Drosophila melanogaster: one gene and its partners. The protein of the gene in region 1 interacts with the protein of each later gene in a pairwise test. Each region holds a gene or a part of one and is shown on either strand. Other genes may lie near its edges. The genes, in order: jbug, CG12206 and alc.

The links.
Region 2: the proteins of jbug (region 1) and CG12206 interact in a two-hybrid assay, tested with the Drosophila melanogaster proteins (2 studies listed by BioGRID).
Region 3: the proteins of jbug (region 1) and alc interact in a two-hybrid assay, tested with the Drosophila melanogaster proteins (2 studies listed by BioGRID).

The regions. Positions count from the first base shown.
Region 1 is NT_033778.4:22,734,942-22,738,698, reverse strand, and holds the start of jbug (jitterbug), read left to right. Parts: upstream 1-1,653; 5' UTR 1,654-1,857; coding exon 1,858-2,094; intron 2,095-3,757.
Region 2 is NC_004354.4:3,472,626-3,476,382, reverse strand, and holds the start of CG12206 (uncharacterized protein), read left to right. Parts: upstream 1-1,858; 5' UTR 1,859-2,242; intron 2,243-2,932; exon of another isoform or gene 2,933-3,011; 5' UTR 3,012-3,234; coding exon 3,235-3,757.
Region 3 is NT_033778.4:9,135,947-9,139,703, reverse strand, and holds the start of alc (alicorn), read left to right. Parts: upstream 1-1,770; 5' UTR 1,771-2,104; coding exon 2,105-2,752; intron 2,753-3,708; coding exon 3,709-3,757.

The DNA of each region.
Region 1 (3,757 bases):
AAAGCGAAATAAGTATATACGAATGTATATTCGGACAGCAAACAAATCGAAAAGTGTAAAAAATGCCAGACACCTACGTGCACATCGCATTCTGTGATATAGATACACCGATTTGTAGCCTACGATACGTACACTTTTGCCCATTCAAAGTCGAAAATTTCGGCCATTACGTAATGCCCTAAACTAGGTGTGCTAGCTGGCCCTCTTCTGCCATTTAAAGTCACGACAACACTTTCGATATTTACCTGCTGACCAACTGAGTAAACTAAGAAGCGGATTGGTCATTCCCATTACCATTACCATTCCCATTCCCCTTGGCCAATAGCACCACCAATACCATTATCATGACCATTCCCATGACCTTGCCGCCAGCTGAATCTATAGAACTCGCCGAGTAGTGGGGCTCATTCCACTCCGCTGGCGAGTGCAACTAATTAGGTTCATTGCCAATGTCAAGTGTCAGTAAATGACATCAGCCACGGGATCACTCATAAGTCCGAGGAGCAATTCATTAATTTCCACTTTTTGCTGTCCCCGCTGGTTAATTTATTTCATCCAAGCCACGCAGTTTTGTCACTGAGACAAAAACACAACAATGACATCTCTGCTTAAAATAAATTAAGGTACAAATTAGTTTGCGGCAAAGCGGTGTATTTAAGTAGTTAATTGATGTTTTAAGAGGAATTCCATTGAAGAGTTACTAGATTAGCTACGTCAACTGTCTTTTGTAATATTAGTCAGCATGATTTTCTCGCACTGTATTCTCCTGTCGGGGCGTTAAAAAAGTGCTCAAGCCACAACTCATCGCTGTGCCGAGCAAGTGATGAGTGATGTCATCCCAGAGTTGTTTACCTCTCCGAAAAGTGTTTGTCAATAAATAGTATTCGTATTCGTATTCAAAATCTGCATACCAGCCTCGCTCAGAACTGGACGTGCTATGATATATGCGATCTGTGGCAATTGACTTGTTTAGAAACGCAACCGGATTTCCTATAATTAAGTTGGTTAGACGGTCATTTGACGCCTCGTTGTCTTCGCAACGCCGTGTGGAAAAATGCCAAAAAGGCCATTCAGACGGCCAACTTTCGGTTTGCACAAATTGTTTGGGTAAAAGTGCGACAAGTGAAAACGGGCGAACAATTGACAATTGATCGTGGCAGATTTCATTGCTGTGATTACGTCCATTATCTTCTGGGGTGGCTCCCACGTTTACACACATGTTGGCCTTCTAACGTTTGTGAAAGACTTGCCCAAACAGCCACATTCACGACAACCACTGGCATCCACAGTACTGCCCACCAGATCTGCTCGCTTTTTGCCTGCTGTTGCCGCGGCGAAATTCCAAACTAAGTGATTTCTGTTATTTTACAGACTCTTTTTTTTTGTATTATTTTCGCCTTTTTGTTATTTTTGTATTCAATTTTCCTTTTCGCTCGCTTCGTTTTGGCTTGGAAGCGACGAAACCAGTTTTGCTTTATAGCCAGATTCAGAGATATTCGCACACACACATTCGCTGGCGAAACCCCCCGCATTTTTTTTTATAAATTCTCCTGCTGCTCTCTGGAGCTTTGAGCTTTGGCCATGACGTCATCGTTTGTTTTGGCCAGGCCAAGAGAGCAGAGCCGCCCAGATCGACCAGCTAAGCGCAGTTCCAGTTCGCTTCGGGCCGCGAGCGCGTGCAAACGAAACTAAAACTGATACTGAAACCGAAACTGAATAGCATAGCTACAACTTACAGCGATCAGAAGTATCTCATCGCGATCTATCCATTTCTCCCGATCAGTGTTTCGAACGCGAGTTACATCTGTACATACATATGTGCGAGTCGCAGGTGAAGTGCAGTGACGTGCAGTGAAGATGGACGTCAAGGACATAAAAGGCGCCAAGGTGACGCATGCGGGGCTGCTCAAGCACAACTCCGATGGAACCACCGAAACGCAGAAGATCACCCATGCCGGTCTGGTGGCCCGGAGTCCCGAGGGCACCGCCGCCAAGGGTATGAACATACGGGGCAACGAGGACCTCTGGGTAGAGATCCAGGCGAACACATTCCGCAACTGGGTCAACGAGCATTTGCGTGAAACGGGAATGCAGGTGAGTTAAGCCATAGATATATTGTAGATATATTTACATTCCGATTATGCAACACTTTCTAACCGACTGAGTAATGCCTGCCGCCGACTGAATATCTGATCGATCAAGCGCAAAAAACAATTACCCAATCAATGGGCTAGCTCCGTTGAATGTGGAATTCGTAGAACTATTGATGAAGCAGGGCCTGAGAATCGATGAGTGAAATACAAAACGTTTAGATCTGGAATTTTAGCCAGGAAATGATTTGCGAAGGCAGTTGCACATAGAAAAAGTGGCACTGCTTAATGAAGTGTAATTAGGGATAGAAAACAAAATATGAATATGTGAAATAATGAACACTTTTTAATTGAACTCTATACAAATAAAATTTTCGATTATTATAAATCGCAATTAAGAAGCACTTTAAAAGCAAGGTTTTTGAAGTTCATATACTGATCCCATTTAAGCTAAATATAATCGCATAACGAGCGCATTGACTGGTGACAGAACACGTAAAAGTATAAATCGCCATCATAAACTGGGGCTTCGAGCTCTTCCGCGAGTTTCCCTAAAAGGCCGGGCTCATAAAACTCGGCTCAATCGCCCACGCAGATCTTGAACTCCAATGGCAGCAACGACAATTACATTAACAATGATGCCAAGAGTACTCACACGGACTTATGTGTACTGCCAACAATGCATTTCATTTGTCCAGGGACTTTTGAACTGTCACTCGCTTCGACGGATTTTCTCACACGCACCGCACTGAAACGACCTGAACCGACCATATTTGGCCGGTTGAATGCCAAGGCCAACGCATCGAGTTCCCATTAGCAGTTACAATACACAAAACAAGCTAAAGCTTTTGTGCGCGATCTTGCCCGGTTTCGAGTATAAAATTCGGGGTTTTATTTTTTTTTTTTTACTTTTTCGGTTGGGCCAAAAACGTACATACATACGTGTATGTGTACATATGTGATGAGCAAGGCTGAAGACCCCTTAGTAAACAGCGCTAATTGTGACCTGGCTGGCGTCTATTTGGGTCACCAAACCAAAACGAGTCATCCAAGTTTGCGTTTTTTACGCTGTTTACAATTCTAGTTCATGCGTATGCGACAAATAATATTGCAATCCACTTTGTATGACAAATGCATGTGCAAACAAAAGGGAAATGCTTTGATGGGAGCAGATACACGGAGAGAAATATTCAAAGTGACTGCATTGTATGACCTTAACGTTTTAATGCAGTGCAACAACAGTTGCGGCAGGTAGAATTAAATTATCTCAAAATGATTGCCACCATGGAACTGTCGTAATAGAATGACTAGACATTTTCTGACATATAGCAAAAATTTATATGCAAATAAAAGTACATATATATTTTGTTAGGTGAAAACGCAACTCCCAACGAAACTCGAGTTCATATCGTAAAATCAGAGGAATCTTAAAAATTTAAGGGCGGAATAACAGCAGCGACAAATAACAACCTGCGGCAGCTTGTTAGAGAGCCATGGAGCAACTACATATGTGCGATGTGAGATTTTTATGGCATCCAATGAATATTTTCCTAGGCACAAACAAACAGCAACAGACACGCGATTGTCTCCGTACCCAGTTCTCCAGTTTTTTGTCGTATTTTATTTGTTGAGTTGAGTTGAGTGGAGTGGAGTGGAGTTCCCCCCAG
Region 2 (3,757 bases), on another chromosome or scaffold:
TACAAATCCTGAATTCATAAAAACTTCTCCATTGATTAGTGAAGCTTGGCTAGTTTCTTTTCACTGACTAGAAGTAATACACAGTGAAAAAAAAATGGAATTAAATTGTTAAATGTAGATAAATAAGTTGTAAAACATATACAAATGTAACGAAAGGCGACAAAATTCTTTAAAAAATATTTTTTTTTCATTGGCAATCGATGGACAAGTGTCACTCCTTTCTCACAGTGCAGCAAAGTGTGTGAGTGTGTGTGCGCATGTGCAACGGTAATCTGAATTGGCCAACGCCTGCAGCAGCCCTTGTGACTTCAGCGGAGCGCAACAGGCGGAAACAAACTGGCCAAGTGACCGGCCATCGTGCTGGGCGGAGCGGTACCTCTACCACTGGGGGCGGTACGGGTGGCGGTGGCAAGCACAAACATACATAAGTACATACATACGTACATGCATACCATACATTAGTGGTCGTCATCGTTGGACGTCTCACTGCATCGAATTAGCGGTAAATTACAAGCTGCAGCGCCTGTTGCATGTGGCTGCTGCACTCGTACTTTCTGCATACTGCAAGTGCAGCTTTACATTCCGTTGATTGCACACACAAATTCGAGGCGTCTTTCTTTCGGTTTTTTTCTTTTTTTTTCTTTCCTTTGCATAAACACTTTGGTATTAAATATAATTAAAAGCTAAAATCCATTTGGCAATTGTTCAGCCGGAGCGACGAAGTCGCTTGATGGAAAGTTGTTGTTTATGCTTAAGTTGTACATATGTACATATTTCTAAGGCGGAAATTTCTGGGCGACAATGCGACCAATGCGTCCAAAGAGGAGGATTCGTTTGAAACTAGAATCAGCATGGGGTCAACTCGTTAGCTTTTTCAGCTTCAGAGATCCAGAAGTGCATATGTTTATTATATATATATATACATATATATATTTCTTGGTTCGAACTGAACCAATTTGATCGGCAAGCTGTTTTGATTGCCAGCGGAATCGGAATTCCTGCTCTCGTGTTGAAGTCTCAATCGCGTTATCGCCGCACCTGAGCCCCTAAAAACTGAAAACCAGTTTGAGGCCTTGCCACATTCCATTCAGCCATCCAATTGCCACTGCCCACTGTGCCCCGCGCACTCTCGATGTCCCACTGTGCAGCTGTGGCACCAAACAATTAACTTTGGCAACAAACGAGTACTGCGCCGCCAGCAACAGCAGCAGCAACAGCAGCGGCAGCAACAAGACCAGCAATAACAATAACAATAATAAAAGCGACGGACAAGTGCCGACGTCGACATGGGCAGCGACTGCGGCAGAGGCAGCGCCGTCGACAGCGGCTGCGCATGCGCACGTAAACAAATTCTCAGCGGCGCATATTTGTTGCCCGCTTTTTCCTTTGGGGTAAGTTGACTTTTGCACTCATCGTGCAACATGCAGGCTATGTCAAATAAATGCAACCTATTTCTATGCATTTAATAATAAATATAATATATTTTCAATATAATTGAAAAATAATTAAGCAAATGTGTAGCAAGTAAATATTATTAATTATTAGGGCAATACTTGAAATCTGACTTAATTGCGTACTTAATAAGCTAATAAATCTGCTGACAGTGTATTTAAACCATCGCCTTGAAGCTCTTTTATTTTTGTTTTAGGTAATTTCAGCGGCTGCTGCTTTTTTTTTGTGAGTTTCTTGAAAGCAAAAATTAAAAAAACCTCAACAACAACTGGCTTGAGAAAGAGTCGGCGAATGGGCGGCAGACAGAGAGGAAACTATGCGAAGAAGAAGAAGTGGTAAAAAAAAAAAAAAAAAAAAAACAATCCCTGGCGAAACACGCCAACCCAAAGCGACTTTGTTGCTGCGGCTTCAGTTGCCAGCGCGATTTTGAATGGATTGTACGCGCGGCGAGTTCTCAAAAGTCGTGTTTTCAAGCCGATATACATGTGCATATATATACATATATATTACATATAGTAACTGAAGAATCCCAACGAAAGATCAAAGATTGATAGTAAGCACAGCAACATGAAAATCTAAAGGAAAAAAACAGACTGCGTGCGTGTGTGCAATATATGAAAAAATATAGTCCAATAAAAAATCTCTGAATTTTTTGATTTTTTCGATTTTTTCAATTTTTGTTTTATTTTTGTGTGTGTGTTTGTTTGGTATGCTATCAAATGAAAATTGTGTGCAATAAGCGGCGAATGCAGGCCAGCAGCAGCAACAACAACAACAGCAATACCAACGGGTAAATATTTCCAAACAACAAACGAAAAAAAAAACACAAATACCAGGTTCAAGTGTAACCAGTTTCCAGATTCCAAAGAGAAAAAAAAAAATCGTAAAAAACCGCAGTCAAAAATGCCGCGGGCTGTGCGCGCCCAATATTTCAAGTTCCTCCTCAGCAATTTAAATGTAAATTCCGACTCGTTCTTAAGTTTGAAGAACATTCACTGTCGGAATCGAAAAAGTTGCTGCACTAATCGATACGGCTTGCTACATACATACATATGTAGCTACATTAATAACGAAATGATATCTGAAGTTGATTTCGTTACAATAACTATCTTTTGTTTATATTTAAATTGTTTCAATTAATTGCTTAGTTTACAAATATGTATAGAAAAGAAATGATTAGCTGCAAAAATTACAGGGTATTCAGAATTTTATATTCCTTTTGCTTACGACATTCTTTAGCCAGTTCTTTCTGCTTTTTGCGGTGTTTCGTGTTTATCATTATTATGATTATTATTATTTTTTTTTTTGTCTGGTTTCCCATCTGTATTTTTAGTATGCTGGTAAAGCCTTTAACATTTATTCAGCATCATCTTCAACTTAAATGTCAAGCTCGTGTGGCGGCGTCTAACACACTTGGAGAAATTGAAAATACCTATCTTGGTTAGCTTTGGGGTCATATTTAGACATTTTTTAGACTATTAGAATCTCAACGGCTCGTCAAAATTTCAGTCGAAAATAAATAAAACTTTATTTCATTGGCATAAATACATTTCTTGCAGAGGCAACTGCGGCAATTACTTCAATCGTATGCAGGCGGCATTCTAACTGTAAAGCACTTGGCAACGGTCAACGGCAGAGACAGAGGCAGAGGCAGAGGCAGCTGCAAGTGGAACGCACAGGAGCAACATCATTAGCCGGCACTTGATTGCATCAGCTTGGAGGCACGAGATCTAGGCACTGGATATCTGAAATCGGATATCGACAACCAGATGCTGCAGAACCATGGCGGCAATTACTAGCAATGTGTCGCGATTGGAGCCAATGCGCGGTATTTCCATAATCATTGAATCGCCAGAAGTGGCAACGGCAACACCACCACCAGCAACAACAACCGCAACTGCCGAAGCAGAAGCCGCAACAAAACAAGTAGCACCAACTGCCAAGAGCAACAGCAACACTGAAATGTCGCTCAAGTCACAGGCTGCTGGCATGTTGCTGGCATTTGGCGACACAGCAGCAACAGCCAAAGATAATTTGGAAACTAGTTACGACACTGCAGCAAAGTCGACAGCAGCACCAGAGACCAACAAAATCTATCCGCAGTTACTGTTGCGCATTGGCGGAGAAATTGCCGGTGCAACAGCATCAGCAGAAGCAGCAGCATCAGCAGCAACAGCAGCAGCAGCAACAGCAACATCACCGACCATAATCAGCTGCAATGGTGAAATTGCCGCCAGTCAAGCAGCAGCAACAGCAGCGGACACAGCGGCAACATTGCAACACAACAATACGGTGAAGATTCAAA
Region 3 (3,757 bases), about 14 Mb from region 1:
TTTGTGCTTCATCCGGAGGGGAGTATGTGTGAAGAGTAGGCTGATCAAACAGGCTTTGGGAAAACGGCAACTAAGTGGCAAATGCGACGCAGTTTCAACTCGAATCTAAATATGTAAGTATACACATACGTATGTACATATGTAGGTGTTGCCGCATACATATTATCAATTAGCAGTTCAGAACAGTTCACTGGCTAAGCAGATCGCTGATAACGTGGTCGAGAATCGGCGCAAACACGCGCCGCCCTCGGGAGCCATGGGAAATAGTTAAGTTGTTTGGGACTCCGCCGGGCCTTCTGGGCTCCGATCAATGGGTTAGTCGGACGTGGCCAGATAAGCGGGCTGCGGACCTTGAAGAGCACCAAATGCAAAGTGAACCGAGACTAATAACCGGGCGAGGTCAACCCATTGTAGCCAACCATCCAACTGACCTACCTTAAATGCTTAGTTCACTCGACTTCGAAAGGGACGTGACTCCTGGGGCTTCACTCCAACTCCAGTTGCTGCGCTTGCTCTGTTTTTTTTTAGTGCACTCAAACGAAAAAAACTCGATCACCTGCAGTCGCGAGGAGAGAACTGTGAACCGTTTTGCACAATGTCTGCGATCGCACTGAAAACGAAACAAGGCACGGCGTCGGCATCGAGTGTTTTTAGTTTTAATCAATTTTAAATGCGAAGGCGTCGTGTTTTGCCGCTGTGTGAGTGGCTACCACGCAGCACACACACATGGGAAAGCCGCTCGTGCACTGGAAGAAATGGCACGGATCTGAAATGGATTTAGGTACAAGTTTCCTATTCATTCAGTTAATATATCCAGAAAACATAAATACTAAATGCTACTGCTTAACTTTGGGTACATTAAATTCAATTCCTTGTAATGAAATAACTAGGTACATACGCATTGTTTGGAATGTGCTTGTTTCTCCAAGTGTACGTCATATGTGCGGTGTAGCAATGAGTAGTATTTCCAAGAGTTTCTTGGGGTGCTGCCATAGTCTGGAAAGCGTCTGGTTTCTACATCTGTGGTACACTGGTACCAAACATTTGTTTGTTTTGATCGCCGTTTCTTTTAGTTGCTTTCATACATATGTTTTGGACTGTTTTGGCTAAATCTGTGCGGTGGATACACTTACCTTCTACCTGGTGTTCATCGCAGATCAGCCTTGTCCTCGCCGCACTTCCGCCCTCGCTCTTTGTCACTCTTCTCGGTCTTGCCTAGTCTTCCTTTCCACTTTTGCCTTTTTATTGTGCTCCGATGCATGTTGATTGTCGTGGACTTTGCACCCTCAGTTTTCCGCTGTTGTAATGCTCGTTTTACGCATTTACAGGAATATAGTCGACTAGGAAAGCACTCTTTACCCGTTTAATCTGGATTTGTCAGCCGATAATTCAGTGGAATTAATTCTGTTGAATTCATAAATAAATAGATAAATTGTATGATTCATTAACCTATTTATTAATTGGTTGATAGCTTTGGGATAGTGATTAAACTCAAGCAATTCACCGATGCAATCTATTGTCTTGAAATGATAAGAATTGAAAGAATGTTGCTATGAATTTAAAAATCTTTAATGAGTGGCTGCCACTTTAATCTAATTCCACGTAATCTTAACTTTCTGAAGGTGCTGGAAACCCATGACACTTTAATTTTCAGAACATTCAACCTAACTATAAATTCAAATCGAGTGGCAGCTCCGATAACGGTCACAGCTGCTAAGACCAGGGCGGCACACTGTGTGCTGTCGCCCGATAACTTCTTTGTTTTGAACTCACGGGAAAGCAACCCTGCGTGTGCTCTCGCCAATTGGAACTGCGAATATACTGCCTGTGTATATATGTAAATGTTTATAATTAGCAATTTTTCTACGAAACAAACGATTAAATAATGCAGTTTTCTGCCTACTAAATGCCAAATACAACACACAGACTTCGAGCCACGAACGGTGATGTGATCAGAGTACTAGAGTAATCCAACGAAAAACGCGAGTCCATTTTAAAGCGAAGTATAAAGTGCCAAACAAAGGGAGCAGTCGAACCCAGTCCAAATCCAATCATTATACTCGGTCCGTGACCTGCCGACGAGCCAGCGAGTACGGCAATAAGCATGGGCAACGCCAGCTCCTCCGTGCACATGCAACGCGAGCGCCACAAGTCGACCGACTTGTCCACGCCGAGCTCTCCCGCACATTTCCGCGATTCGATTGGTGGAGGAGGAGCGGGACAGGGCGGGAGTGCTGGCGCAGCAGCTCTGGGCGCTGCAGCGGGGGCGGTGGGAGCTGCGGGGGGTGGAGGAGGAGGCGGCGGAGGCCAAGCTTTCTCGTTCGACAAAAAACATACGGCAGTCTTGAACGAGGGCTCGTCGCAAGAAGACGACGACCCGTACTACACGGGAACTGGAACTGGATCCACTAGACGAGGCACCGCACACGACGACGCGACATCAGCTGTTACCCGAGACCACTCCAGCATGGACAACAACGAGGAGGAGGAGGAGGCAGCGGTAGGAGCGGAGCCAGCGACTGGATCTCAGTTAACCGGCGATGAGGACGACATCCGGAAGACGGCACTGCCCACAGTTCTGCGGTGGGACGGCGGCGGCAAGAACGTCACCATCTCGGGCACATTCTCCGATTGGAAGCCCATGGCCATGGTGCGCAGCCATCAGAACTTCGTGACCATCATAGATCTGCCGGAGGGCGACCATCAGTACAAGTTCTGCGTGGACGGCGAGTGGAAGCACGATCCCAAGCTGGTCAGTTGGGCGGAAAATCAATATATGCAGCAGGCTATTCAGTGTTTTTGATTCGGGCGCCCGAATGACGCAGTTACCGATTTTCGCCCCGGGTTGTGTAATCGCCGTAAACAAAACGAAGTCTCCCAGTAATCGTAGTGGATTTCAATTGGGTTCAGAGATGCTCATCCGGCTTTAGCTTTTTTTTTGTTTTTTTTTTGAGGAACCCCGTTCAAATGCTTCGCAAATAACAAATGCAATTAAAGTTACAAGTTTAAGGGAGCAAACTGCGATAAAACCCATTTGTAGATTACTACTAAATCCGGTTGGATGTCGCTAGTTTTGTGGACACAGTTTATCTAAGTGACCATTGAACATTGCTATCAGGCGAACAATTTGAACTATAGAAAAGATTTAAGGGAATAGTAACGTTTTCTTAGATAAAATATTTTTCTGGATAACAAAGTTCAGGACTGTGATAGAATATATGACCTACTTCGCAATGTTAAAATAGTTGCAGAATTGCATGAAGACGAAAAGCAATCAGAAATGAATTACTAAATGCACAGACTTTAAATCTTTATTAAGAATAGTTCACGAAGCTCACGTATTTAAACCATAATGGTTTTAATGACTAATAAATAATGTAGTTTATCTGACATTTAAATTAGTAAGCAAAACGAAAGCAAACCATTGAACAAATTTTTGTATTATATATATATGTAGCAAGCCAAATTGTTGTATATAATTCAAAATTGCTCGAAACAAGTAGCAACAGTACGTTATTAATTATAGAAAGCAGTCATTGCCCAGCCACATTTTCATGAAGTATTGCCCAATTTTTGTTTTATCGCAAACTCAGCTATCAAGTTTCATGAGTTTTATTGAACTCAACCCGAGGCCTGCAGATATTGTCCCAATTGCCCAAACTATTGTTACAGACAATTTGATTATAGCTTATCGGTTTGCTATTTTAGAAAAGCGTGGAGAACGCCGAGGGACAGAGAAATAACTTAGTGTCCGTGC